4 linked regions of the Pelodiscus sinensis genome follow. The protein of the gene in region 2 interacts with the protein of the main gene of each other region in a pairwise test. Links are inferred from orthologs where the notes say so. Each region holds a gene or a part of one and is shown on either strand. Other genes may lie near its edges. The genes, in order: ASL, NTAQ1, CBY2 and EDARADD.

Region 1 (7,959 bases), on a different chromosome or scaffold from region 2:
ACAATTATTCTGGATTTACAGGTGAGTCAAATGGGTCAAAATTTACCCTGGTGTAAATCCATTGCATTAATAAATTTAACATTGGAGCATGGCATTACACTAGTCTTTCTGGGCACCCTTCTGAAGTGAACTTCAGTTCACTCAAATGAATGAACCCGTGTGTGACCTATTTCACCATGCATTTGCACAAACAGCATTGCTTCATCAGCAAATAGCAACATATCATTTGATCCCATGAAACGCATTCCTGAAATCCTTACATAGGCAAAACTCCCACTGACGTCAAAGAGGGGGTCTGGTCTGCTGCTTGCGTAAAAACTCCATGGTGTGTCCTAACAATTAAAAAAATAATTTTCCAAAGCAGCTATTCGCACTCAAGAGGAGTGATTCGGAAGCATTTATACGAAGTGCCTGTAGTAGAGTTTATGGTGTTAAATTGATACTTTTGCCCATCTAATTTATTTCTCATACCCCTTTTGCTTCCTTTCAAGCATCACAGCCATCTTCTCTGGCAGCAGACTGGATGGGGTCCCAGTTTCAAGTTAATCAGTGCCATTATTTTATCAGCTAGTGGGGTCATTATTGAGCAAGTCTTTCCCCAAGGACTGTCTCCACATATCTACCAATCCCTGATGCACAAACATTGTGCAGTCCCTATGGAGGCAAAACACCCAGTAAAGTCCCAGGGAGTTTTGCCTTGTAAGGATGATAGAAATAGGGCCTATAGTTGGAGATTTTTAAAACATTATTTTCATACAATCATTTTTAATTCTAAATTTTGTCAGCCAAATTCTGCACCACTTCAGCTTCACTACCACCCAGATCAGGGCTACTCAACTTTGGAAGCCCTGGGGGCCACAATGATAGTCACAGCATATGACAAGGGCAAGGCCGCAGCTTAAGTCTGGTTGCATATACAGGCAGTCCCCGGGTTACGTACAAGATAGGGACTGTAGGTTTGTTCTTAAGTTGAATCTGTATGTAAGTCGGAACTGGTACATATTGTAGGGGAAACTCTAGCCAAACATTTCTCCAGAGCTCAGTTTTATTCTCCCACACCTCACTTCCCTCAGTCCTTTATTCTCAAGCTGAGGTGTCTGCTGAGAAAAGCCGCTCCGCGTCTCCCTGGTCTGCTGGGGGGATGCAGCTAGTGCGGGGTTGCCTTACCCTGTTTGTAAGTAGGGATCCGATGTAAGTCGGATCCATGTAACCCGGGGACTGCCTGTACATGCAAATAGTTTTTCACACAATGCCCTGGTGCTCCAGACACCACCTCCCTGGGGGCTAGAAACTTCAACACCTTGTACCCATCTGTTCCAGCTAGCCCGTCCACTTGCATCTTTCAATGCTCACTCTGCCTAGGAGACACCTTGCCGTTGTGGACTGTGTCTCAGTGGAGACCAAGTTCAAAGGATCCCACCCTCAAGCCGCATGTTGAGCCCTGCATAAAGCCAAACCGCATCCCAGGCCACAAAAACAGGCTGTGGGCCGTATGAGGCCCACATCTTGACCTAGATTTTGCCATCACACTGCTTTCTGCTCCTGGCTCAAACGAATGGCATTTTGTCCATCAAACCAAGACAATTACACAACCTGATCTTAGAAAACCTTTGGAGTAGACACAATTTTTCCTCATTAAATTTTGTACTAAGGACAAGTGAAGGGGAATGATATCTACATGTTTTGTTTCAAGTTCTAGTTATATATATTCAGCCATAAAACAAGACAATTGGGCTGCGTCCAGATTGGCATGATTTTCCGGAAATGCTTTTAATGGAAAAGTTTTCTGTTAAAAGCATTTTTGGAACAGAGTGTCTAGATTGGCACGGACGCTTTTCCGCAAAAGCACTTTTTGCGGAAAAGCGTCCATGCCAATCTAGACGCACTTTTCCGCAAAAAAAGCCCTGATCGCCATTTTTGCGATCAGGGCTTTTTTGCGGAAAACGAATCTGAGCTGTCTACAGTGGCCCTTTTGCGCAAAAGCTTTGCGCAAAAGGAACTTTTGCCTGAACGGGAGCAGAATAGTATTTCCGCAAGAAGCACTGATTTCTTACAGTAGGAAGTCAGTGCTTTTGCAGAAATTCAAGCGGCCAGTGTAGACAGCTGGCAAGTTTTTCCGGAAAAACTGGCCAGTCTAGACACAGCCTTGAAGTAACCAAATCCCTATTGCAAGCAATTTAAAAAAAAGTCTAGCTATGAATGTGCAAACAGTTTTCCTCATCTATCTTTTAAAGAGCACAGAATTTCATAATAGATTTTATACGGGCTTCTCCCCTAGTCAAAATTCACTGTCTTACCCCTTTCTTACATTGGGCCAAGGATGGAAGAAGCAAGTCTAGCACATTCTGACAGGTAGGGCTGCTTTTCAGATCAGGATAGCAATTACGCACAATGGCAGATAAGGCCAAGAAGCCCTTGTGGGCAATTTTTGAACGTGGAAAGCACTTGCCGCTGCGGGAGCCGGTGTGATTTGCTAACAGAGACATGCCTGGACGGGGCAGCAGGTGCCCAGAGGGGCATCTTGGGCAAGCGACTCTACCAGCGGGTGCCCAAAGAGCCATACCCAGGAGGGCAGCGCCCACCTCCCTACAGGAGTCTTGCTATGGGAAGAAACCCCCCCCCACCCCACTACATGGAGGGCTGCAAGGTTTTTGACTCCAGCTCCCTCCAGCTGGATGTTTCTGCCTGGGGAGGGTCCGCCCTGGTCTCTGCGGGGGACGCCACAGTGCGGGCTGCTCACCTCGGATGCCATGTCGGACGGGCTCTCGGCACCTCAGCGGCGCGCGCCCCCTGCAAGACAGAAAGAGGCGGGTTGGGCCCCTCGGGGGAACACCCCGCGCTGCTGGGGGGCCCCGCACAGCGCGCGAGGCAGCTGCAGCCCCAGGGCGCGGCGCGCGCTCTGCACCGGGCGAGCCCCGCGCTGCTCACCTGCCTGGCCGCTCGCCCCCGCTCCGCTCGCCCCGGCTGCTTTTCACGCCGCCGGCCGCTCCACGCCTCCCCTGGGCGGGGCTGAACCCGCCTCGCCTGGAAATACCCCGGAGGTTCCCTCCCCGCTCCGCCCGCCCTGCTTCCTGGCCGCTGCTCCACCGGCTGCATCACGGAGGCCTGCAGCTGGGTGCTCCGAGCGGCCCCCCCGGCCCGGCCCGTTTGTAGGGAGGCTGCTCCATGGGGCGGGGAGAGACTCCCTCGTTGTGTCCCTCCCGCGCACCGTGTGACTTGTAAGGCTCGTGATTCCTGCTGGGGGCAAGCGCGGGGTTCTCTGGGGTCTTCCCCAGTGCCAGGTGGGCGAGGAATCTTTTCCTGCTTGCCAGAGAGACGGGCTTTTCAGCGTGTGGCTGGAAATCTTGCCTCTCTCATGTTGCCCTTGTCTCCTCGCTGTCCTGGACCCAACAGGGCGCAGTGCCCCTGCTTCTTTCAGTGACAGGCGTTTGGGCTCTCAGCTCATTATTTAGCATATTTAAAATGTTTCTGCATTAACCATTGCACGAGCTGGAGATATATCCCTGCAAATTGCATTACATTCTGTACCTATTGGTAGAGATCAATCCACAACTACCCGCTCCTGTCTACTGGCCTGACAAGCAGGACTGATATGGGATCTAATAGGTCTTTTCCAGCGGTGTGTTCACAATCTCATTAATTCCAGTTGCTGGGGATATTGCAGGGATAATGTCAAGGTCCCAATTCTCTGTTTGCCTAGCATTATTCTTGATGAGTGGCTCTTTTTAGCCTTTAGACTTTTAGGAGGACTGAGGCATAACCTAGCAGTACTTGGATGCTGAAACACCAGTACTGTTGCTGGCATGTACCTCTGTAAAAATGCAGCAGGGTCCTGGATGCTAACTTTTACATTTTTCTTTGAAGTACATTTTCAAGGAACTCCTCCCCACAAAAGATCTGTTACATGGTTCTAAATATTAAATAATGCACCAGCCAAGAGACTGCTTTCTCCTCCTTCCTTCTCCAGACAAATGTTTCTCTTTTTTCATTCTGTTTCTTTTGTTTTCTGTTTCATTCAATCAGCTATTTGAGACTTTTTTATGATGTACATTAGTTACATCACAATGTAATATCTCATTACCAGAGCTTGACAAATTATAGAAAACCCTACTCGCCAGAAAAAAAAGGGACTCGCCACCCCCACCGCGCAGACGTGCACCACCCAGAGAATGGGACGACCAGGACAGCATGTTTGCTTCTGTGATGAGGCGGGGCCGCTCCACAGTGGTGAGGACGACCCACCCTGCACTTCAACGGCACCGACCCCCGTGCTGCACGGGGAGCGCGGCGTTCTGACAGCTGTCTGCGCTGCTTGCTCCCGTGCTGCCGCCCAGCTGAGCGGCATGCAGGGGGGCCGAGTCCTGGGACGGGAGCTGGAAGCAGGGGCGGGGTCGCACGCGGGCTTAGGGCGGGGCCAGAGTGTGCGTGCGTCGACGTCAGGGGGAGAGGCGCCGGCGCAAGAAAGCACCACATTCGAAAGGAGGGCAGAGGAGAGCAGGAGGGAGGCGACGGAGGAGAGTAACGGAGGGAGAGGGGCGAACAGAGGAGTGAGCTAGAAGACGGCGGTGGGTGGAGGAGTGAAGGGTAAGAGCAGAGGAGAGAGGAGGGGGATGGGAGTCGGAGGAGGTCAGAGGAGTGAGATGGGCTGTGTCTACACTGGCATGAATTTCCGGAACTGCTTAAAACGGAATACTATTCCGTTTTCAGTTTTTCCGGAAAAGGAAAGCCCTTTTTCCGGAAAAGCATCTGTGGCCAATGTAGACGCGCTTTTCCGGAAAAGACTACGGGGCTGTCTACACTGGCCCTTTTCCGGAACAGTGTTCCGGAATAAGGACTTCTGCCCGAGCGGGAGCAGAATAGTTTTTCCGGAATAGCGGCTGATTTTGTACAGTAGAGCATCGTTGCTTTTCCGGAAATTCAAGGGCCAGTGTAGACACCTCGCAGCTTATTCCAGAAAAGCGGCTGATTTTCCGGAATAAGTGGCCCAGTGTAGAGACAGCAGGGAGTGGAGCAGAGAGCAGAGCGTGGAGGCAGAGGACATGAAAGGAGAAGTGGTGGAAGGAAGCAGCCCAGAGCGGAGACACTAAGGAGCCCCATCCTGGGCTGCTTCCTACCTCCATTTCTCCTTTCACGTCCTCTGCTCCCACGCTCTGCTCTCTGCTCCACTCCCCGTCTCCCTCCTGCCTTCTCTGACCTCCTCTGACTCCCGTCCCCTCCGCTCTCACCCTTCACTCCGTCCACCACCATCTTCTAGCTCACTCCTTTGTTCTCCCCTCTTCCTCCGTTACTCTCCTCCATCCCCTCTGCCTTCCTCCGCTGCTCTCCTTTTGAATGCGGCGCTCTCTTGTGCCGGCACCTCTCCCCCTGACGTCAGGGACACACCCACACTCTGGCCCCACCCTACGCCCGCGTGCGGCCACGCCCCTGCTTCCAGCTCCCATCCCAGGACTCAACCCCCGCTGCATGCCGCTCAGCTGGGCGGCCATACGGGAGCAAGCGGCGCAGACTGCTGTCACAACACCGTACTCCCCGTGCAGCATGGGGGTCGCCCCGTCACAGCTCACCAGCTGCCAAAATCTACTCACCATGGGCAAGTGGATTTGTCGAGCCCTGCTCATTACATTGTAAAGACTTTGAAATGACTCTAGAAATAGCATAAACTAATCTTTAGGGAAATCTGTCATCAAATTCCCAGCAGATTATTTTTTCTCATCTCTTTTCTTGTGATTTTGTTCTTTTTTCTTTTCATTTCCCCTCTGAATATTTGGGATCTCTCTGTTTTCTTTATTGGTCCTTTCCTGTTGTCTAGCCTCTCCTTCCATTCATCCCCTCTTGTCTCCATCCCACTATTTATTCCCTTTTCCCAATTCTCTCCTTTCCCCCTCTCCTCTCCTCCTGTTCTCACTTTAGGGAGGTATTTTCCTTATGTTGAGTTTGGGAATGAGGGGTTGCTGTTGTGTTTGCAAAACAGCCAGTACACGATTTGCTTATAACCAAGATGAAGTGTGTAAAGAAGACATATTTGTGTGTCCATACCTGTTGCACAACCCCAAGACCAGTTATGTAGAATGTACACAATCCTTGTAAGGATAGTGTCTCTCTGCAAAATTAAGATGTGGGGAAGGACTTTCCCAAAGTGAAAGATGGACTGGTGCTCATTCCCCTCATATGGGAACCAGATACTGGTTATCTATTGATTTAATACTATATATATATATATATATAAAATTTATTTTCCATGAGTTATCAAGGGACTGGACCTGCTCCCATTTAAGTCAATATTAAAACTCCATGGACATCTATTGGGTCAGGATTGACGCCAAATTGTTGTTAGTCACCATATGCATTTTATCTGAATTTATTTTATGTTTTTTTCCCACTTACATGCCCTAGCACAAAACCCAGGTGATCTAGTTTTGCAAGTAAAGTGCCTTTGGTGAATGATAAAAAATAATCCTTTATTTATCTCATGCTCACAGGTATTTCCATGCATCCATCACTGGGGTCCTGGTGCCACTAGCAGTGATGTTTTTTTCTAGTTTATTACATTCATATAGGATGTCTCTAGGATGTGATTAATCCTCTGTCCTACTTTTCCTGGATGGGACAGCTGAATAATAGCCCTTTTCATAGTGATAAACAAGGAAACTTCAGAAAACAAAAAGGAAATTGGAGGTCAAAACAGATGTCGTGGAGATTGGGACAGGCAATGAGCAAGGATTCCTAAGAGTGCCTTTGAGCTAAGGAGTAGAGACTGCAGGGGGCAGTGGAGAAATAGAACCGCAAAACGGGGATGATCAGTCACTAAGAATTGTTATTTTTCATGCTGTTTTGTAGTTTCTTTCACTTACATTTTATGCTTTCACTCTTTTACTTGTTCCAACGACACTGAAACATTTAGGGAAAACTTCCTAACTGTCAGGGTGGTTAAAAACTGGAATAAATTACCTATGAGGGTTGTGGAATCTCCATCATTGGAGATATTTAAGAGCAGGTTAGACAGACATCTGTTAGGGACGATCTAAATGGTACCTTGGTCCTTCTGTGAGTGCAGGGGACTGGACATGATGACCTCTCAAGGTCGATGATCCTATGATTTAAAATAATTAAATATGAGAAAATTAATTGAATTAAATGGAAGGTACTTCTTTGGTCCTGATGGAATGGCAGTGTCTGAGCATTGCACTCTGTATCCTTCACTGGGGATAGAGAGTGGAGCATGACCCTTTATTGATGGTTTTGTGCTACACCCTTTTCTAAACTTATATATCAGATACACAGGCAGTCCATCCAGCAGCATGGACACATTTAACATTATTTCACTGCATTTCATTGCACCAACATTCTAGACATTTGAACCTTAACTGCCCTTGCTTTTGTACATTCAGGTCACAAATTTACTATTTCTTGACTATAGCTTTTTGGCTGACGAATGTTTTTTCTCGTAAGGTATGTCTACACAGCAGAGCAAAAGTCAAATTAAGATACCCAACTTCAGCCATGTCAATCGCGTAACTGAAGTTGAAATAGTTTAATTTGGCTTTGCTGCAGTCTACACAACAGGAAGTCGAAGGAAGAACACTCTTACTTCGACTTTCCTTATTCCTTGTAAAATGAGGGTTACAGGAGTTGGAGTAAGAAATCCTCCATCTTAACATTATTTCAAAATAATAGCTTGGTGAATACACGTGTATTTTGTTATTCCGAAATAATGCTGCTCTGTAGATGTACCTATAGGCTACGTCTAGACTACATCCCTTTTTCATAAAAGGGATGTAAATTAGACATATCGCAATTGCTAATGCAGCGGGGATTTAAATCTCCCCCACTACATTAGCATAAAAATGGCTGCCGCTTTTTTTCCGCACGGAGGTTTGTCGGAAAAAAGCGCCAGTCTAGACCCTGATCTTGCGGAAAATAAAGCCTTTTCCGAAAGATCCCTTATCCCTCTATGAAATA
Region 2 (7,277 bases):
CAGTTACTCCTTACTTTGCTTAAGAGCAGGCAAAGGGAGTTGTTGCCCTGGGCTCAGTAATTCCCTTTAAATTGGCACGCCAGGTGGCTCTGAAGGCAGAGGAGGGGGGCACTGAGAGCTGGCTTCTCAAGCCCCACCCCTTCTGTCCAAGACCCATCCCTTCCCAGAGTGCACAGCCACTGCTCTCACCCCCCTTGCCCAGAGGCCCTCAGAAGCTTTCAGCATCCCTGCTTAAGAGATTTTGGTGAAGGACCTTGTCAAAGACTTTCTGAAGGTTCTGGTACACTACATACACTGGATCACCCTCATTTGCTGACACCTTCAAAGAATTCTAACAGGTTGGTGAAGTCTGATTATTTTTATTGCTTAACATGTTGGTAGTACTAGAACAATTAAACATGGTACAAGAATCTATATAGACCAGAATGTCTTACCCAAATCACAGGTTCATCTCCACGTCCTGATTGTTGCTTCCACAGTGGTATCTGCAAATTACCAGTTAGAAGCTAATGTTAAGTAAGCTTTAAAAAAAAAAATCTACAATTTGTCTAATATGAGATGATAAAATTAGTGTTTATCTGTGATGCAACACGTAAGCTTTTATCAGATTGTTTTTTAACTTTTGAGCTTAAACTTTGGGCATTGTTTTGGATCACACAGACCATTCAGTCTCCTCCGCTGACTGATAGTAATAAAGGAATCCCTGCTATCCCATTCTCAGGGAGGTGATACTTCTCCAGATGTCCACCCCAAGGGACAGACTACCATACATGACTAAAAGACGTGCCTTTTAGGTTCTTTTCAATATCTGTGTGACCAGGGGGCCCAGGTGAGCTACAGGGGTCTGGCCACATTTGTGCCTGGATTAGGGTTACCAGAGTGTTTCAGAAAAATACCGGACATACATGATCTCACATTGGGGATGAGGGACCAGTTACAGGAAGCAGGGCTGACCAGGAGGGAGAGAAGGGGAAACCGGCCAGCGGGAAGCGGGGCTGGCCCGGGTGCACGGAGATCCCGGGGTGCTGCCCGTCCCGCACACGGTCTTGGCAGGGTGCACAGGTAAGTCCGGCCCTAGGGATTCCATCCCAACCTGGCACCACCCACCTCCTCTCTACTGTGTAGTTGCATACTGCCTGGCCAATAGACACACTCACACAGTGTGAGTGTGTCTACGAGCCAGGCAGTATGCAACTATGTATTGTTACTCATGATAATAATAAAACTTACTTAATTAGAAAATACCAGACATTTATATGTCCGGTATTTTCTCAATTTGTTTCCTAGACAGAAAGCTCAAAACTGGACACATGGCAAACCTAGCCTGGATCCATCTTTCATTCACAGTAAATCGGTTTTGATTCAATAAGGCAACTTATCAACTTACCATCCTTCTTTCATTGGATATGAAAACAGCAAAAAATTCTTCTAAAGGATATTGATCATAGCTTCTGATGTATTCACAAAGTTTCCAAACATTTTCCTCACTGTAAAAATACAAGGTTTTTTTTGTCCCCAGTTCTTGTTTTATTTCTGATTTATACAATAAAAACAGCATGGCTGTTATAACTTTCCCACTTTTGGATTCATTTTTCTGTTGAAGACTTTTTCCCAGCTCCTTTCACACATGTATTTTTAAGCTCTAAAATGTAGGTTCAAGCCTTTAAAAAGGTTTTACACAAATAATTCATAGGTTTTTTTGGCTCTACTATTAGACAGCAAGAAGCATAGCTTGGTTTACTCTGTCATGACATGCTTTAATACCAAATGATTGGTATAGTTAGTGTTTTGTCTTTTCCTTACTGTTTGTGGCAAAGTAGTTTTGATTAAAGTGTCAACAAATTAGGTTAAATAAACATTTTACCTGGAAAGATACATGTCATCAAGTGTATGAAACAACTTGACAAATATAAAATTTTAAATAGACTTCCATCTGATCTTAGTGACATATTAATTTTATATATATATATATATATATAATAGTTTAGCACAATTCTAAAGTAATAATCGTGTATATAACATTTAATACTACTATTAATAGTTTTGCACAATTCTAAATAAACTGTCACTGATAATAGGACAGGATGCACAAATTATTAATGGAACCATAAATTATGTTCTGATAAGCTATTCAGAAAGCCATACAATGATCTTGTATATTGTTATTTGTCAGTAAATCATCCTCCAATCATCTTGGTTAACCAGTACTATGAGTGTCCTAACCAATGCATCCTTTTTTCCTAGAATATCAAATGCTATCATAAGAAAAATAATATTCTATCTCCAGGCTGTTATGACCTCATTTTCTTCTGCTTTGCCTCCTGCAAGAGTATGTACAAGTTTTCTAAAGAAAAATGGAAATATGGGAGATTCCAATGGAAAACAATGACTTTCAGTACATCCACTCTTTGTGCATTAATTCCTTGACTAATGAAAAAGAAGATTTACCCAGCCACATTTCTTACATACCTATTACTACTTACCAATAGCAGCTGGTATACACACAAGCATGCCGAGCAGGGACAGCTGGCTGGTAACCTGCAGCTCCTACTTCTGTCTGTTCCATATGCGACCCTCATCCAGAGATATGGGAGTGCTGGGTTTAATAGGCTAATAGGCTCATACACCTCCCCCAGCTGTATAAAGCACCGGCTCGCTCAGGAAGTGTTTATGCCGGAAGTTAGTGAGTTACAAGCAATTTCTTCCCCCAAGGAAATCCGGATGTTAGTGCTTTCCTATGACTAGGAGCTCAGGCAGGCAGGAGGGAGGGGTTTTATCTTGGATACGAAACAAGATAAGTTTCTAATTGCTCTATTAAACCCCACCATGTTACATCAAAGGCAGGAGAGAAGGGGTCAAGTTGAATCAGAAGGGTGGGAAAAGGGAATTTTTTAACCCAGAATAGGTTGCAAAATTTGAGTCAGGATGAGCAAAAGGGACGTTTTAGCTTAATGAGATGATCCAGAGGCTGCCAAAACAAAGGAGAGGGGGTTTGAGTGGGGAGGTGAGATCCTGAACTTACAATGGAAGGGAGGGAGAGACCAGAACAAGCCTTGACAAGAGGGCAGGGCTGGGCTGGGCTAGCTGATGAAAAGGGAAGATTAATTAAATCTGCACCTGTTAGTGAGGGAAAGGCTGAACATGAGCCACAGGAAAATGCTGGGGATGAAAAGGAAACCTGTTCTCAAAGTGCATAGAAAACATCCCCAGAGAAGTATTTTTTGTCTTAAATGTACAAGGCCAAACAGCTATTTCAAAAGCTTCAGAGGGGTAGCAGAGTTTGTAACAGGAAAACCTTAAAAAACAACAAATAGTTCAGTAGCACCTTAAAGACTAAGAAAATATGTAGATGGTACATGTAGATGTCGCTTTTGTGGGCACAACCCACTTCTTCAGATGACCAGAGTGTTGGAAATTCATATCCAAGAATAAATAAGGGAGGGGGGAGGAGAAGAAAAAAAAGGAGGGGCAGAAAAAATGTGACAGTGAGTAGATAAGCTTTAGAGCAGTGGTCCCCAACCTGTGGAGGTTGCCGGGCGCCAGGGGGCGTGGCAGTTCGCCCGCTGGGCGCCAGGGGGCGGGGATGGGGGCGGGGTCCCCCCATAGCCATGCGCCCGAGGCCGGAGCCCCCTCCCCCCCAAGCTCCGTGTGCCCGGGGCCGGCGCCGCCCCCCTCCAAGCGCCCGGGGCCGGGGCCAGCGCCCCCCCTCCAAGCGCCGCGCGCCCGGGGCCGGCGCTCCCTCCTCCCCCCCCCCAAGCGCCCGGGGCCGGCGCTCACCCCCCATCCCCGCCCCCCGGGGCCGGCGCTCACCCCCCATCCCCGCCCCCTGGGGCCGGCGCTCACCATGCGCCTGGAGCCGGCTCCGGCACTGTGCGTGCACCACGTGCCCAGGGCCAGGCCAGCCCCGAGCACGTGGCGGGCGCACACGAATGCCCCCGCGGGCGCCATGGTGGGGACCACGGCTTTAGAGAGATAGCCAAGTTAGTCTGTAACAGGAAAGACTTAAAAATCAAGAAATAGTCTAGTAGCACTTTACAGACTAAAGCTATTTCAAGTTCAATATATCCATTTCTAGTTGTCTTTTTGTTAAATTAGTGGAAAGAGATCAAGCCCATTTAAAGTCCTGAAAACCTGTGGAAACTTGCATACCCTGGCAAAACCAGTGGCTGCACAAGGGACTTTAATCTCCTGGCCATACAACACACAAAACAGCATACTTTTATACAGTGTTTTTACAGGTAGCACCACACAAAGTCAGGAGGTTTAATAATGTAAAATACTTTTGATATTAAAAAGCTGTATTCGTTGTTGTGCAAAAGTGCTGTACATTTGTCTAGTAGCTATTATGTCTTACCCCATAGTTTGGCAATGGGCAGGACTACCTTCAGGAGGGACTGTGTAGAAAGTTTGACATTTTTTCCCCTAGCACCACAAAACATTTCTTAATTTATTTCCAGGCCGTGACACTTCTGTAAAATGGTGTCACATCAAAACTACAGCAAGTTCTCAATTTTTTATGACTGAGATCACATCAGCATTTTGGCTGTTTGGCTATGAGCTTTGTAGCACACAACTTACTTTTTATTGAAGTGTGCTAAACTTTGCATGATTTTAAACTTTTTGAGAGAATGAAATCTTAATATTCTAAACTTCTATTTGGCTTATTGCACTGGCAGTGGGAAGCAAAATAGAGGAAGTGGGGGCAGGACTTTGCTTAAACAGTTTATTTTGGAGTCAAAATGTGATTATTGCACTCCTGTGATGGAATATGCTAGCTACTAGAGTTATGTCCCCAAGATGGGCCTAGGATAGCCAAAGATCAATATTTTCTAAAATAAGGAATTTACAGATGGGCTGCTTACTAAATCAATGCCCAAACCTCCCCCAATACGAGTTTTGGGGTGTCCACTATTTTTAAAAATCAAACCATAATCCAGGTGTTAAAAAGTGGAATGGGAGTCTAACTTTAGGTCCTTGTTTTTTTAAAAAAAGAGCTTGTTGCTACAAATATTAAAAAGTTGGACTGCAGATGTCACAGGTCCTAGCAGATCACACAAAAGCCAGGTCCTTTACCGTAGGCTCTTGTAAGGACTGCAGCTGCCCCACGCCGGGCTCTTGCTCTGTGATTGAGGAACAGCTGTCTGAAACACGGGCAGTGTCCCTTTAAGGGACGGGCATTTGACTCAGTCCCATTTCAGCGGGAAACACTGGGGCGGGCTGCTGAGCGCCTTTCTTGTAGCCAATCAGAGCCGGGTAAAACAGTCTTCCAACTTTGCACGCGCCAAAAATTCCAAAAGGACGCATCACCTATGCGTGTCTCTCCGCCTCCCTTCGGGAACTAACCTACAGGGAGAAAGAGTCCTAAGAGACAACCGGACGGAACGGTCCGCCTCGGGCTGGCCGAAAAGTCAACGAAGGAGTGTAAGAGCGGGTGCCGTATTTCACTAGTGGCGCTACTCTGCTCTAATGAGAGGTAGAGGCGGAGGGATACGACGGGAGGGCGGTGACGCGGCAGCCCGCGGTTTGTGGCGCCAGAATTCGGAGAGAAGCCGCCGCCCCCTTCTTCAGCCGGGGACGCGCCAGCTCCGGCCATGGTGATGCTACGGAGCAGCACGGGCAGCGGCAGTCCGCTCCAGTCTGCCGCGTCCCGGGGCAGCCAGGCGTCCCTGTACGACCTGATGGACTCGAGTGCCGAGTTCCTGTCCTTGACCCCCGCGCCGCGGAGCCGCAGGATGGGCACCCGCTCGGCCACAGCCGCCTCCGGCAGCAAGTGCGGCAGAGGAGCCAGGAGAGCGCCGTCAGCAGCGGGCAACGTGAGTACAGGGCAGCCTGGCTGTGCAGATCGAGGCGGATGCCGCCTGGAGCGCACGAGAACCCCACCGCCGCACTGGCCTCCGTGGTGAGGGGCGCTGCCAGTGCGCACTAGGTGGGGGAGGGGGAGCTGAGCTCTCCTGGCCGCGGGCGAGAGGGGTGACCCCACCCCGCCTGCAAAAAAATAGAGGCGTGGCCTGCTAAACTCCACCCCCTGGTGCTGGGCGGAGTAGGGAGCCAGCCAGAGTGAGGGCTGAGGGAGCTTGTGGTGGCACGTCGAACTCGTCTTCCTTATTCTGGGGTTGTCTCTGCCCCTGGCTCCTTCTGGCTTTTGGTAACCGGAGTAACCGCGAAGCTGTGGTCGCTCCCCAAGGGCTGGCTCCAGAGCCTCCTGCTCACCTACTGTTTAAGGGTCAGAGCCTGGCCCTTAGGGTTAAAATTGTGTGGCTTTAAGTGCGGGGATAAGTAACATAGGTGAGACAGCGCTTTACACTCTTTCTGATGTAACTTGGTGAGGTCATAACTCTCTTACTGTGGTTGGCTCTGTTTATCTCCTTGCGGCCACTGTTTTGTTTGATTTCAGGATAGTTAATGTTACCTCAGGAGATAACTCATCTTTTTAAAAGCTGAGGCCAAGGCTACAACGATGAAATATTACCGAGGTGGATTGTGCAGATTAACACATAATAAAGCTTAAAATTTTGTTAACTGCAGTCATTAGAGTTCAGTTAACACTTTAAACAAATCAGTGAGGGCAGATCATGTCTTTACACGATGATGGAACCTGCTGAAGCATAAAATTGTAGAGTGCTAGAAAGGAGCAATGAAAGTCGTTTGGTTAGAAAGTTAAACCAGGTCAAAATGCTCCACACAGATCTGTCCCTCTGTTAACTCCTCTGGAATCCATTAAATGTTTCCATATCCACAGTAAAACCATGGGGAATGCCACTCTATAACTTCAACTTTGTAGGAAAATAATTCGTATATGAAAGTCAAATGTTCAAATCTATTTAACTACTAAATGACAGTCTGGACATTTCTGGTCTACGTGACATTCCAACTGAAGGTGTATGTATGTACATGTCACTTCTGAAATGCAAAACAACATGTTTTTCAGTTAATTTCACAGTAGTCATAAAGCTTCATAGTTGCATAATTTAAATTTTAACAGACCTAAATTTTAAACTTTGCCCAGCAGAGTAAGTATGAGATCTGTGCCAAAAGGAACTTTTGGGAGTTAAGTGTTTTAAAGGGATCAGGGTCTGTGGGCATGGGGGCATGTGAAGTCTCCTGGCCTGTAACCATTTCAGAAATTTGTGAAATGGCCCTCCTTCAAAAATTATTGTCCACCTCTATTCTAAAATGTTCTTCCTGGGGAGTAGTCCTAAACCTGGGCTCTGAATAAAGATCTGGGCTGCCTCCTGTTTCTATGGGGATGTAGACTACTCCACTATGAATACTTTCTG
Region 3 (7,558 bases), on a different chromosome or scaffold from region 2:
TGTTCTCCTTGTGGAGTATCTGTAAAGCCATATTCTTTTCCTGAACAACCTGAAGGGCCTTGTTCTCTTGGAAGCCTATGTTCCTTTCTTGGAAGACTGGGAAAGGATTGTGCTCCTTCTGGAGAACCTGCTGGAGGGTGTCATCATAAATAACCTGGATGGCTTTGTTCTGTGTCCGTAGGCACTGGAGAGCTTTGTTCTCCTCCCGGAGGGCTTTGTTTTCAATCCGAAGGGCCTTGTTCTCCTCCCAGAGTGCTTTGTTCTCCTCCCAGAGAGTCCAGTCTTTCTGCATCTTCTTGCTGAAATGTTTCTGTTGGTAAGCAAAGGGTGGCTGATTGTAGGTCTCACTCACCCATTTGCCATCTACAAAGACAAATGTCTCGTCACTTAGCTTGACACGAGGGGCAATATAATCCATGTCAGGCTCTGCCTGATGCATAAAGTGATTCATTGGATCAAAAGCAAATGTGGGGATGACTTAGCAAAGTGAAGAAGTCTGTGTGAAAAGACTCTCTTCAGAAGTTATGCAGGCAATTGCTGTTCTTGGTGATGAGTAGCTAGTGAGGGGTCTGCAGAGACACTCACTCAGAACTGCTGGAATAGGGAACACAAATAAATAGGATTAGTTATGAAGTTCAAAGACAGAACTAAACTCAATTGGACAAGAAACCAGCAAATAAATCTATTTTCCAAAGTCTATTCTGTGATAAGCCTTCGATTGAATGGATATGTTGGATGAAAATGATTTTACAGACATTAGCTAAACTAAAACAACCTATATCTACTAGCTTTTTTATGTACAATACAGATTCATCCAACACCTCTATCCTCATTTTCTCCTGAAGCTCCTCTGTTGGTGCATTCCTCCCAGTCTGCTTAGTCTTTCTCCTTTCCTCTCCTTCTCTCAGTCTCTCCTTTGCATCTTATAAAAGGTTGTCTCTTCTACTGCCAATCCAAGCAGTCCCTCTCATGGCACCTTCAAAATTCACTAGTAAACCTCATCTTCTTCTACTCTCCAGATCCTGTGTACCTCCTCTTGATGAACTCTGTCTTATCTTATGAGCCCTTTAGAGCAGGGAACATCTCTCATTATAAGTTTGTAAGTCACAGTGTAGGTTTATGTCAATAAAGTGTGATTTTATATCTGTAGCAAGAACTCATTCTGCCCAGCTTAAGGTTTCTTCACCACATTACTTTTCCTTTCATTTCACAGTAGAGCTCTGAATGATACAGATTTCACAAAGAACGTTGTCAAGATTTTCAAAAGTGGGAGTCTAGAAATGGGTAAAACCCTACATAGGCATCTTAATATAAATGGCCTCGTTTTCAGAATTGTTCTGCTCTCACAAATGCCACTGCACACAGTGAGTGCTTGGGCTGCTCAGCACCTCTGAAAACATGGATCACCTATATTTAGGTGCCAGCATGTGGATTTAGGAACCTAATTTTAAACATCCAAAATGTTTAAAAATGTTGGCCTTTTCCAGAAAGTTCTAAAAATCACACGTAGCACACTGAGTTCTCTTTGCACTCAAGAAAAAGAAAACATGCTCATTTTTAACTTTTCAGTGGTCTGTATTGCTGCTTCCAGTGGGAACTGAGATCAGAATAATTGCCTCTGTCAGCAGCAGAACAAGCTTGTCTTTTGAGAATGAGCCCAGAGCATCACTGTGGTCAAGCCGGAGCTGTGGGATTAGTAATGTCTGGCTATTGCAAGCAAATTCTCAGCACAACCTTTCATAATTTTTATTTATGTCTAGGGTAAGTTAAACCCTTTTTAGGGCCAGATATTATTGTAGGCTTTAAAACCTTTTCCTCAGCTAATTCTAACATAATTCTACTAGACTTTACATTACTGTTAACTGAAGCAATATAGTCAAGTGCTTGTGATGATATCTGGGAATGAAAAGATTCCAATAATTTAGCATCTTTCACATAATCTCTTTTATCTCCTTTTCCCCCCATAGGTTTCTCCTTCACTAAGACTATCAACAGTTACCACATAAATTACAGGAATTTCTTTGACTTCTAAGGTTGTTTAATCTTTTTTCTAATAAATGCTTGATTCTAAATCTGTGACTAATGCATGTTTCATTTCTATACATTATTTCTTTTTCTTAATTTTGTATAGGCCTCAGCTTTCTTATTTGACCCCTTGTGTGTATCAGCTAAGAGTTGAGTCTTGGCTTTTTGTCTAATGGATCATTTAATAAGATGATCTCAATATCAGAGGAAAGATAGGGGGTTGAATTCTGACTAATTTTCGATAGCGTAGCATAAACACATTACCAAAGATCAGAGTGGATTCCCCATTGCTGATGCTTTTTAAATCAAGATTGGATATTTTTCTAAAAGATCTATTCCAGGAATTATCTAGGGAAAATTCCATGGCCTGAGTTATACTGGCGGGCATCTTAGATTATTACAGTTGTCCATTCTGGCTTTGGGATCTAAGAATCTATGAATCTTCTGTATATACTAAATGTCCGTGTCAAATTTACTGCTATTATCTCTGTGTCTCTCTGTCTCACTGATTCTCCATCTCTTTTCAAATCTCATTTAACATGGGATTGAATTATTACTGGGTTACTCCAGTTTTACACTGATTTCCATGGTATTACATCAATGTAAAACCTGAATAATGTCAAGTGGTGAACCATACCCATCTTTTCTCCCTTGCAGAAGCCTTTTAATTTCTCTTAATCTCAGTTATCATTTTCTTTCAGATCTGTATTAAACAGTCCTTATGCAGTTTGGGGCTACAATTACATGAGCAAAGCTAGCTAAAAATCAAGTTGACTAGTATTCTACAGTAATAGTGGGTACATCTGCTCACCTCTGTTTAAAATATAATTCTAGTGATGTCCTGTTTCTTTTGTCTTTATCTTCTCCAAACTCTCAGCTGGTTTATAACTGTAGTGTATCCAATGCTGAGGCCAAATGCCAGAAGCTGCCTCGATCTCTCCCTGCTCAAAACTGATTTTCAGCATGGCCAGAGACAGGACCATGCTTTTCAAACTGAGGCATGTAACAAGAAAGCCCCTTTATGACATAGACAGTATCTAAGTACATCCAGAGTAACAGTGTAATTGATGTAAATGAAAGGCATCTGCTCCCCAGGCCTGTTAAACTTCAGTAGGCTCTCAAGTGTTTCTCATCAAAGGTTTCCTATTATTATATTCTCATGACTTAGCCTCCACTGTTCCCACTATAATCTCTGAAGACTATCTGGGGTTTTTTCAGATCCCTAAGTCACATGTGAATAGAAGTTACTTCTTTTTCCTTATAACAAATCAAGTAGAGAATTCTCAAGCTCCTTCCCAAACCACGTTCTTCTTTTGCCTTCTCTCCTCATGTATGATCTTAGGGGCAGTTAAAATGAATTATTTTCCCAGTACTGTACTTTCTTTTTATAGAACATGATTTGCTCCATCCCCGATATTCAGACTAAGACCACTACTGAATTGACACTAAAGGTAACAAAACACCTCCCTTTTATCCAGTACGAGGCCTGGAGTAATTTTCCAGAATTAACTTTGAGGTTGGTGTTTTTCTTTGACTCCAAATTAAAAGAACTAGGACATTGTCAATTCTTGTTAACAAGAAAATAGACTGCTGAGAGTATCTGGGCATTACACCCAATGCCATTATCCAAAGCAGTTATTTGCACTTCCACATCTTTCCATTTTTAATTCTCTCTTATTATTTCTTATTTGCTGCATCTTTAAAAGTAGAATTAAGTGTTTTCTAATTTGAGTGTTCCTAAGTCGCAAACACTACAGTTAATTTCTTTCCAAGTGAAAACTTGGCCTTAGCCCTAATGTGGTTGTTCATGTTTTAGAAAAATTGTAGGTAAACAGTTCAGCAATTTTTGAATTATGGAAGGATGATAAACTTTGGCATACAAATTCTCACTGTAATTTCTTCCCATTTCTATTTAATCTCAGACAACACTAAAGCATCACTAATCACTATGGCAACTTCCTGAAGAGCATTCTGTTTACTTTCTTATTCAAGTATTCTACAGTGAAGAGCAGGAAAATCAGTTTCTTGAAGAGAGTTTGTCCTTTGACAGAAGGGGGTGGTTGAAGTTTACTTACTGGTTGTAGGGAGCTTTAGGAAAGATGACCGTTGAATTGGGTGATCCTTCTCAATGCCTGGAGAATCAAGGGTGTACAATATACTAAAGCAGAAAAGCGTTAGGGCTCATACTAGAGCCAAAGTTAGTGAAGATAAGAACAATCCAGTAACAAGTACTGATCAAAAGAGAAAAACCTGATTCTTTTGAATTCATAATTACTGCTAGGGTTAAAGTTTTGTTGTGTTTTATGTTTTTCTTTTCTTAATTTTTCTGCATATTTTCCTGCCTTTATTCCTAACTATACAACCTGGTGTGAATGAATCACCTTTCTATATGCTACTCTAGAATTTAAGACTTGAGCATACCTGATCTTAAGTCAATAGAAAAACTAAAACACACTTCAAAGGGCTTTTTATCAGCTCCAGAATTGGTTAATTGGGGGGAGGTACAGCAAGGTATTTGTAGCCTATTTTGTCTATGTTCCTGGCACACTGATTGATCAGAAGGAGTTACAGGGGATATCAAGGAATTCCTTCTGCTCTGAAAAGGACACAAGTGAATTGGGATAGCAGTGTACAAATTAGGGCTGTCAGCAATTAACACAAAACAAATTAATCACAATTTAAAAAATTAATCAAGATGAATTACAGTTTTGATCACGCTGTTAGTACTAATTGTTGTTACCTTTTCTTGAATATCCCATCCTTTCACAACATCCAAAAAATGCCCTATGAATGTTTCAGCATAATGTTTCTCTTCAGAATGCGTTACTGTTAAAGCAAATGGCTGCACTGTCCAGGTAGTATCAACCAGGTGTGCTAGGATTCCAAGAGAGCTGTGATTGCTCAAGGATGCCCAGTGATCACCAGTCAAAGCAACAGCTAGTACATTTTTCAGAAGCTCCAACTTTGTACTCTTCTCATTGTGACATAGATCATACATTCATGGTTCAATGTTTCCTGGAGAAGGCAAGGGTATGTCGAATTAGCAGATGCAATTTGGATAGTACCTCTTAGACCTCAGTCATTTTCCATGGTAAGTGCTCTGTAGTTCATAGTTACCCATTTTTCAATAGCACTGGTTAAGCTGTTGTACTTTGATCCATGGGCTTGTACCCATTCTGAAACTCTGTAAGCATATTCTTCCATGGCTGGCAAGCTTCATTTGCTGTCACTGGGTTATGTGTAGCATATGAACTGGAGGTGAAAGCTTGTGTAGTGTGTAAAAGGTACTGCAGACTTGAAGTACATCAATGTTATTGGAATTTAGCCTTGAAAAAATTGTAGCTATTTTTTTAAATCACTTCACAGCCCTACTTATCAAGCTCAGTTTTGAAACAAGGTTTTTTGTCCCTATTGCTCTTCTTGGAAGGCTGTTGTGAAAGGACCTTCCCTTTTGTCCCATGGCAGCTATTCTGCTTAAGAGCCTTTGGTGAGGGACCTCGTCAAAGGCTTTCTGAAAATCTAAGAACACTATATCCACTGGATCCCCTTTATCCACATGCTTGTTGAGCCCCTGAAAGAATTCTAATAGCTTGGTGAGGCATGATTTTCCTTTACAAAAAACATATTGAATTTTCCCTACCAAGTATAAATTAAGTGCATCTATATAGCTGATAATTTTGTTCTGTACTATAGTTTCAACTGGTTTGCCCAGTATTGAAGTCAGACTTATCGGACTCTAATTGCTGGGATCACCTCTGTAGTGATCCTCCTGTCATTTGGCACAGAAGCTGATTTAAAGGATAGGTTACAAACCACAGTGAGTAATTCTGCAATTTCATATTTGAGTTCCTCTAGAACTCTTGAGTGAATATCATCTGGTTCTGATGACTTATTACTGTTATTTTATCAGTTTGTTCCAAAATCCTTTCTAAAGGAACAGTTCCTCAGATTTGCCACCTAAAAGGAATGGCTCAGGTTTGGAAATCTCTCTCACACCCTCAGTTATGAAAACCAATGCAAATAATTCATGTAGTTTCTCTGTAATGATTTTTATCATGCTTGAGTGCTCTGTTATCATCTCGATTGTCCAGTGGTTCCACTGGTTGTTTAGCAGGCTTCCTGCTTCTGATGTACTTAACAATTTTTTTTGTATTACTTTTTGAGTCTTTGACTAGCTGTTCTTCAAATTCTTTTTTGGCCTTCCTATTTATTTATATTCCTACACTTCATTTGCCTGAGTTTATGTTCCTTTCTATTTCTCTCACTAAGATTTAACTTCCATTTTTTAAAGAATGCATTTTTATCTCTCACTGTTTCTTTTACTTTCTTTAATTTAGCCCTGGTAGTATTTTTTTGGTTATCATACTACAATTTTTAATTTGGGTATATATTTAAGTTGGGTTTCTATTATGATATCTTTTAAAAGTTTCCATGCTTCTTGCTGAGATTTCACTTTTGGCACCGTACCTTTTAATTTCTATTCTACTAACTTCCTCATTTTTATCTAGCCCCCTTTCTGACATTAAAATGTACAGTGTCGGGTTGCTGGAGTGTTTTCCTCACCACAAGGATGTTCAATGTAAGTAAATTATGGTCGCTATTTTTACCAAGCAGTCTAGCTATATTCACCTCTTGGACTAGATCCTATGATCCACTTAGGAATAAATCAAGAGTTGTCTTTCCTCTTGTGGGTTCCAGGACTAGCTACTCTAACAAACAGTCATTTAAGATGTCAAGAAACTGTCTCTACATCCTGTCCTGAGGTGACCTGTACCCAGTCAATAAGGGGACATTGAAATCCTCCATTATTACTGAGTATTTTGTTTTTATAGATTCTCCAATCTTCTTAAGCATTTCACAGTCACTATCACCATGCTAATCAGGTGGTCAGCAATATGTCCTTACTGCTATATTCAAATGATCTGAGCATGGAATTACTACCCATACAGATTCTATGTTACAAGTTGGATCATTTAAGATTTTATTTCATTTGATTCTATGCTTTCTTTCTACAGGATTAGCCACAGTGTAATTTTGGGGTAAGATGTGAATTGTATATTAACTTGGGTGTGTGGCTGGTCCTTAGAGAGGCTCAGAAGAACCTTTTCTTTGATGAGGCTGGTTGCACAGAACCACTCATCTCTGAATTCAGTGTTTCGGGGTGTGAAACAAAGCTAGGAATACTTCAGGAACTGCTTTTATGACATCTTGTTAGCCAGTGTGGTGAAACAGAAATTTCCCTCTTTGCAGTTGCTTTGATATATTTTCTGGCACAATGCCCACTAACATTTTGAGGTGTATTGGCTTTATTTCTGCAGTATGACTGGAATTTGGTGTTCTCAGTGGTGTCCCATGAAGGCCCTGTTACAACCAGGTCTGTTCTTAAAGCCTCTGCCACACTGAGGAGGAATAGCCTGGTGAAATGGAGATCTTAACACTGGCAGAGAGATTAAGAAGGGGGGTACGTCTACACTACAACGTTAATTCGAACTAAGCTAATTCAAACTAACACATCTAGAACTAAAAACTAGTT
Region 4 (7,067 bases), on a different chromosome or scaffold from region 2:
TATAGAGGATGCTGATTAGATGGTTCCTCAGTTTCTTTGAGAGCGTGTGGCACAATTTCTCATTGTAGTTTGTGTAGTATGTTGATTGTAATGGATTGTTCACTTTCAAGCCAAAATTCATCTACTTGCACTTGGAAAAGAAGATGATGTCTGTTTGAATCTATGCAGGTTTCTTCATGAAACTGATGGGTTTCCACTTCGTGCAGTGTCTTGAATGGTAAAAAGTCTAAAAGGGGTATCTGTGTTTGTAACTTTAAAAACAACAAGCAATCCTGTGGTACCTCAGAGACTAACAAAAATATATAGTATCATGAGCTTTCATGGGTAAAACCCTTTTCATCAGATGATTATGAAGCAGAAATTACACCGATAACTTACCACTGTAAATAACTTTATTTGAGGGATCAGGGAATATATTTAGATCGTACAGTGTGGTGTAATATATTTATTACAGTTCCTATCTGCAGTGTTATATTGTTTTATGTGCCGGAATATACAGGCAGTCCCCAGGTTACATGGATCCGACTTACATCGGATCCCTACTTACAAATGGGGTGAGGCAACCCCGCACTAGCTGCTTCCCCACAGCAGACCAGGGAGACGCGAAGCTAGTGCCCCCCCCCCAGCAGACCAGGGAGACGCGGAGCGGCTTTTCTCAGTAGACACCTCAGCTTGAGAATAAAGGACTGAGGGAAGTGAGGTGTGGGAGAATAAAACTGAGCTCTGGAGAAATGTTTGGCTAGAGTTTCCCCTACAATATGTACCAGTTCTGACTTACATACAAATTCAACTTAAGAACAAACCTACAGTCCCTATCTTGTATGTAACCCGGGGACTGCCTGTATATCATACTAGCACAGTTACCTAGCATTGCTCGGGTACTCTAGGAGAGGCTCAGGTCCGGGGCTGTGTGTGGGGTGTGAGGAGCAGGAGTGAAAGCAGGGGAGGGCTCGGTGCAGGGCTGGGGGTTACAGGAGTCAGGTGAGGGATTGGGGGGGCCTTGCTACACAGCTGCCATCTCCCCAAAGCTGGCCAGTGGGTGCACTGGCTGGACAAAGACTCCATGGGGCTGGCAGAGCCTGCAGTGTCCAGCTGGATTCTCCCCTAGGGTTGCCAGATACTTTCAGAAAAAATCCTGAACATTGCGGGGGAAAGATTGGTTGAGCGGGAAAACCAAACCAAACCAAACCAAACCAAACCAAACCAAACCAAACCAAACCAAAAAAGACCACTGGGGGACCAAACTTTGAGGGGGAAAAAGAAAAAAAAAAAAAAAAAAAAAGGACCTGTCAGACACAGCAGGGGAAAAATGTCCCTGCTGGCCTTTCTTCCGAGAAAAACAGAAAATACCTGTATTTTCTGTTTTGTTTTTTCACCAGACAGAAGATGCAATTACCGGACTATCCAGGCAAAAACCGGACACTTGGCAACCCTAGTCTCCCCAAGGCTGGCCTGGGCAGTGGAAGCCACCAGGTGCCACCCCCAGCTGGTCACTTTGCTCCTGCTCCCTTTCCATTTGATTAGAAACAGTCGAATTCCAGGCATACCCCATCGTCCTGACCATAGGCGTGCACAGCACATTTCATTAGGGTGTGCACCCAAAGAATTTTTTAAAAAATGTACTTTGACCCCCCCCCCCATTAGCCACACCCCTGACCCCTGTTAACCACGCCCCTGACCCCCATTAGCCACGCCTCTGGAGGTAACCCTCTCCGGGCAAGATGGGCACATGACCAAAAGTAAAAAGTGTTATGTGACTCCTCCCCCCCCCCACAAGGACTTTTCCCACCATCCTCCTACCAATAGGGATTAGTTTGGCCCCCCAATCCTCCCCTATGCAACTATCCTGCAATTGCATTAACCCAATGTGTGTGACATTAATACAGAGGTGGAGAGGCTGGGGGAAGTGTTCTCTCTAAGAATTTCCTCCCATGAGCAGAATGAATTTTGTGTTGTGCACCAGTACTGAGTTCCTGTGGCTTGTTTGGATGTGCCATTGTGGCACCCAAGTTATTAATAAATATCGTATAAACCTCTACCTTTTCCCTCTGCTGCCATGTCTCCTCCCCTTGCTCCATCAACTCCACTGGTGCCTGCTCCCCCCACAACCCCTCACCCTCCTCTGCTGTCCTGACTCCTGCCCTTCTCACTGCCCTCAGCCTTCCTGAGACCTGCCTCTCTCCACTAGCCCTTCTCTCCCCCCTATGCCCACTATTCCAGTAGCCCCACTCTGATCATGTGAGCTACCCCTCCTCATCCCCTCTCCTAACAACTCCCTCTACACACCTGCCCTGCCTCTCTCCTCTGGTGCTGGTCCCTCCCCTGCAGATGTCTGCCCTTCTGCTTCACCCCCAGAATTCCCTGGCACCTGAACCTTCCTTTACTCCTGCGCCCTCCTGGTGACTCCCCCTTCCCTCACTGCCCCTGCCCCCTTTGCCCTTTTTTCCTGATGCCCATCCCCTCACCACCATCTGCCCCATTCCCCTCATGCCCCTGTGCCCTCACATATGACTTGCTCCAACCCCACCTTCCTCATGCCCTCCCCTTCTGTCAAGCCTTCTCCCAGCACCTCCCCCTCCAATCCCCAATGCCCTTACCCTCTCCTCTTCCAGAATCACCCTGTACCCCCTTCCACTGACACCTCCCCTCCTGCCCTTTTCCTCATTGTCTCCACTTCCCCCTAGCATTTGTGTCTCCTCTACCCTGTCCCTTTGGTGCCTTCCCCTTTCTTCCCCCTCTCCACCCCCTCCGTACAAGCCCCTTCCACCTCTTCCCCTTTCTTCCTCCTCCACCCTCCCCCACCACAAAAGCCCCTTCCTCTCCCACCCCTCTCTCTTATTCCCTCCCCCTCCGCCTTACCTTCAGCTTTTGCCTTACAGCTTGCAGGGCTGGAGTCAGAGCCAGCCCAAGCTGCAGGGCCGGGGTGGGGCACCCCTGGGGTGCTGCGTGGTGCAGCAGGGCTGGGTGCTGCCGGGATGGGCGCCATGTGGTGCTGCCGGGATGGGCGGGGGCACCCCCAGAGCGCAGCATGGTGCTGTAGGGCGGGGGCTGGGCTGCAAAAATAGCTCAGGCCACCATCTGTAGTCGGGCCCCAGCTGCTTTTGGAGCTGGGCCACTGGGTTTTAAAGTTCCCAGCGTTTCCCCTCTCACCTGTTGCACGGCGTTTGAGGACGCCACGTATGCGCTCTCTCTGCTCCACAGTGCCCACTTAGATGGCTGTGGGGAATTTAAAGTGAGGAGCTGTGGCGCTTCGTCACAAATCCCCCTCTTCCTCCAGTAGCTGCTGGCTGGTCCCAGACATTAGGGTGTGCCTGGGCACACCCCGTGCACACGCCTATGGTCCTGACACAACCAAACCTCACCCTTGCTTTAAGTTAAGATAAAAGGAAGCTGCTTACCAAATTTGGTGGTCTTGCCATGTAGGAGGAGTTTTTGAACAAACAGAATCACAGATGGACACACAGAGAGACGCACATTTGGAAAATAGATAGTCAAATTAACGCAGATACATTATGCTTTTTAAAAAAAGCAACTATACATTTATTCATTATCTTCACATAACCGAGAAAAATGAGTTGGAATATTAAATGCTCACATGTATTTTTTATACACACACATATGTCCGTTTTTATAACATGCATACTTTTGTACACAGAGACTCTCTCTCTCTCTCACACACACACACACACACACACACACACACTTACTTCTCCTGAATCTAATTTTGATATGTATACATCTAAAGAAAACCCAACTATCTATAGGGGAGAACGAACATTGTCGCTCATTATAGAGGAAGAGCAAACTCATGCACCTGAAAATCAAATAAAATCCGCATGGGTTTAGATGAAGGCTGAATGAGAGTTGGTGGCAGGGGAAAAGCCTCTCCAAGGGACGGCCCAGAACCGGGGGCAGGGGAGACACCGCTCTCTCTCTCTCTCTCTCTCTCTCTCTTTCACACTCCTCTGCTAGCTTTCAGCCTCAGCTCTACCTGCAGCTTCCGCTCCCCAGGGAGAGAGCCGCGACTTGCTCAACACCCAACCAGGAAGTGGAGAAGAAAGAGGGAGGCAGTAGCGCCCGCTCGGATTTAGGGTGGGGGTTGCCCGGCCGGCCTAGAGGGGATTTTCCAGCTCCACACACACGCTCAGCCTCAGTCTTCGCTGGGCACGGCTGCAGTCTCCCCTCGGCACCCACCCGATGGCTTCTCTCCAGGACCCTCTGCCTGCAGGTAAAGTGCCCCGAGCGGCGGCTGGGAGTCTGGGGGCGTGTGCGCGCCGCCAGGGCGGAGAGGCAGCTCTGTGCAGCCGGGGCAGGGCTGGAGGAGAAGGAGGGAATCTGGAGTCTGTGGGGAGCTGCGGGAGGGCGGCTAGGCTGGTCAGAGCCTCCTGACCCTGCTCAGGGCCGGGCGGCTTTTCTGTCTCTCTTGAGATGCGAGTGGAGAGGGGGCTCTGCGTCTGGCCCTGTGTGTTTGCTTCGTGCGCCTGGCTGGGTTCTCTGCGCACAGCTGATCGGTGCGAGGGGCTCTCCCCACCACTCTGGGGATGGGATCAGTGCTCGCAGATTTTCTCCCGAAGGAAACTAAACCATCTTGTTCGTCTTCAAAGTGCTACATTGTCCTGCATTTTGCTTCAGCTACCCCAGACTAACACGGCTACATTTCTATCACTATTTGCCTATTAAAACTCTCAAGCTAGACAAATAGTAATAGGGAGGGAGCCGTGTTAGTCTGATCTTGCTAAAACAAAAGGAAAAACTATGTAGCACTTTAAAGACGAACAAGATGGTTTAATAGGTGATGAGCTTTCCTGGGCCAGACCCACGGAAGCTCATCGCCTATTAAACCATCTTGTTAGTCTTTAAACTGTTACATAGTTTGTCTAGCTTAAACAAAAGGAAAAACTAAGCTCAGCAAGCAGCCTTGTTTTTGAGGTAGGCTGCCCCAAGCCCTCCTCCTCTCCCAGCACTGTGCATGAAGGAGAGCTTTGGAAGAATATTAAAAATCATTCTTTGCATTTGCATAGTCTCTGAGGACCTGAAGGTGTTTGGTGATTCATATGCTCAGACAAGAATAAATTAAACCTGGCAGCACCCCTGAAAGGTACAACACAGGCTGGCTGTTACAAAGAGGTCCAAAAAGTTGTCTGCCTCAGGGAACTTTTGCAGATTCTAGATCTTGCAGTATTAACATTTTAAACTATATTATCAGTTTTCTGGGAGTTAACCAAGGACTCCTGGCCTTGTCTGGACAAGAAGGGCTGGGAGTCGTCCCCCCCCCCCCCCCAATTGTGCTAGCTAACAGTTTAGCTTGTTCTGAGCTGGTGGAATTTAGCATATGCTGAAATACACCTTGTCTGTTCTAGAGTTATAATATAGACTAGTTTGTGCTAGCTAATATGTGCTAACTCCCCCCCCCCCACACACACAAATCTGTTTTATTCTAGTCAAGGGGTTCTCAAACATCATTCACCACAACCACTTACTGACAAGAAAAACTACTTTAGGACCCCAGGAGGAGGGACTAAATCCTGAGCCTGCCTAAGCCTCACTGTCCCAGGTGAGGGGGCCAAAGCCTGAGCTCCACCATGAGGGTGGGGTGGGGTGAGGGGGAGCAAAGCAGAAGCTCAAGGGCTTCATCTCCAGGCAGGGGGGCTTGTAACTTGAGACCTGCTACCTAGGATTGAAAGCTTTTGGCTTTGGTCCTGGGCAGTGTGGGGCTTGGGATTTGGCCCTGGGTCCCAGCAAGTCTAAGCTAGTTCTAGAAACCCCAGTCAAAGGGGGTTGCAACCCATTTTGGGGTCCTGGCCTACAGTTTGAGAACCTCTGTCCTAGTCAAACCAAAGTTTGAGGAAGTGGTGAAGGTTAACATTTTCAAAGTTGATGAGCACTGACCTTTAAAATAGGCTGTTGAGTTTGACTATTTCAGCTTCAACAACTTCTGTCCAGTCAGTGGCAGAGTTTAAACCATTTGTAACAAACTGAGAGATGTACTACCAAAAGTAAACAGGTTAATCGAGAGGCAGAATATAATGCACTGTAGTATAATTGTACATAATGCTCCATTGTGTTTATTATGGTCTTTGCCTGATCACAGCCTCATTGTTGATTAGGGTAATATATCACCAGGCTTGTCTATTTGTACTAGTCTAATTACACTGAGATTGTTTCAGTGTAACTAAGTGGGGCTTACAACACCAGTGCAGTTTAATTTGATAATTATGCTAAGACAGTGTAACATTTACTACCTGCTAGTGTAGACATTGAAGTAGTGTAGGTGAACAAAACTTGAGCTCTCTCCAACACAGAGACCGTAGGATTTCAAGATACCAAAATTACACAAGCTATTGGGCTCAGTGCAGGAGTAACTTGGAGAAATTCTATAGTCTGTGTTATACAGAAGGTTAGACTAGATGATCTATAGGCCTTCCTTACCTTAATATCTTTGAAACTTTTAAAGTTATGGGGATTTCAGTGAAAAGTACTTGGAGATATGTCACTTCCTTTCCTCTCCTTTGACTCTTACTTCTCCAGCTGTGCAATATGACTCATACAGTATTTTGTGACCACACTAATTTTAATTGCTTAATTCGTTGTTAAATACTACAAGTTTAACAAAAAAAAATATTAGCAGGAAGAAAGGAAGGAGGTATGTTTTCAGATTATATTTAAAACTAAGGAGTCAGTGAGTCAGAAAGACATCATGGAACTGATTCTCTGGCTTAGTCTACACTACACTTCCCTCCTCCCTGCATTGATCTATCCTACACAACTTCAACTACACAAATAGCATAGCTGAAGTCAACGTACTTACCGCAGTGGCTTCTATGCGGTAAGGTCAGCATGGGGCTGCTCTCCTGTCGACTCCAGCTACTCTTCTCATCCTGGTGGAGACTCTAAGCAGATGCAATAAAGCTATTGCCATGACCATAACAGCACCCAATACATTCCTTATATTTCCAGCATGGGTGGTGTAGATTTCTATGCCAGTTCTACCAGCCAGAAAAACTCTCTGAGCAAAGCTGGGAGGCAGACAGAATTGCTGGACCCTTGGGCAGGGTGGGGCAGCTCTG

The links.
Region 1: the proteins of NTAQ1 (region 2) and ASL interact in binary tests that used the Homo sapiens proteins (3 or more experiments, as listed by UniProt). The two-hybrid records come from large-scale screens. The link is inferred for Pelodiscus sinensis from reciprocal best matches to the Homo sapiens genes NTAQ1 and ASL.
Region 3: the proteins of NTAQ1 (region 2) and CBY2 interact in binary tests that used the Homo sapiens proteins (3 or more experiments, as listed by UniProt). The two-hybrid records come from large-scale screens. The link is inferred for Pelodiscus sinensis from reciprocal best matches to the Homo sapiens genes NTAQ1 and CBY2.
Region 4: the proteins of NTAQ1 (region 2) and EDARADD interact in binary tests that used the Homo sapiens proteins (3 or more experiments, as listed by UniProt). The two-hybrid records come from large-scale screens. The link is inferred for Pelodiscus sinensis from reciprocal best matches to the Homo sapiens genes NTAQ1 and EDARADD.

Annotation. Positions count from the first base shown.
Region 1 is NC_134731.1:20,065,366-20,073,324, reverse strand, and holds the start of ASL (argininosuccinate lyase), read right to left. Parts: upstream 3,016-7,959; 5' UTR 2,929-3,015; intron 2,791-2,928; 5' UTR 2,753-2,790; coding exon 2,741-2,752; intron 1-2,740.
Region 2 is NC_134712.1:19,804,299-19,811,575, forward strand, and holds the start of NTAQ1 (protein N-terminal glutamine amidohydrolase), read right to left. Parts: upstream 3,019-7,277; 5' UTR 2,567-3,018; coding exon 2,484-2,566; intron 1,488-2,483; coding exon 1,388-1,487; exon of another isoform or gene 1,288-1,387; intron 486-1,287; coding exon 435-485; intron 1-434. Other genes in the region: ATAD2 (ATPase family AAA domain-containing protein 2), read left to right, coding at 5,592-5,813. UniProt on the Homo sapiens protein: Mediates the side-chain deamidation of N-terminal glutamine residues to glutamate, an important step in N-end rule pathway of protein degradation.
Region 3 is NC_134711.1:287,239,095-287,246,652, reverse strand, and holds the start of CBY2 (protein chibby homolog 2), read right to left. Parts: upstream 3,005-7,558; 5' UTR 2,837-3,004; intron 595-2,836; exon of another isoform or gene 592-594; 5' UTR 452-591; coding exon 1-451.
Region 4 is NC_134713.1:127,271,694-127,278,760, forward strand, and holds the start of EDARADD (ectodysplasin-A receptor-associated adapter protein), read left to right. Parts: upstream 1-4,061; 5' UTR 4,062-4,197; coding exon 4,198-4,228; intron 4,229-7,067. UniProt on the Homo sapiens protein: Adapter protein that interacts with EDAR DEATH domain and couples the receptor to EDA signaling pathway during morphogenesis of ectodermal organs. Mediates the activation of NF-kappa-B.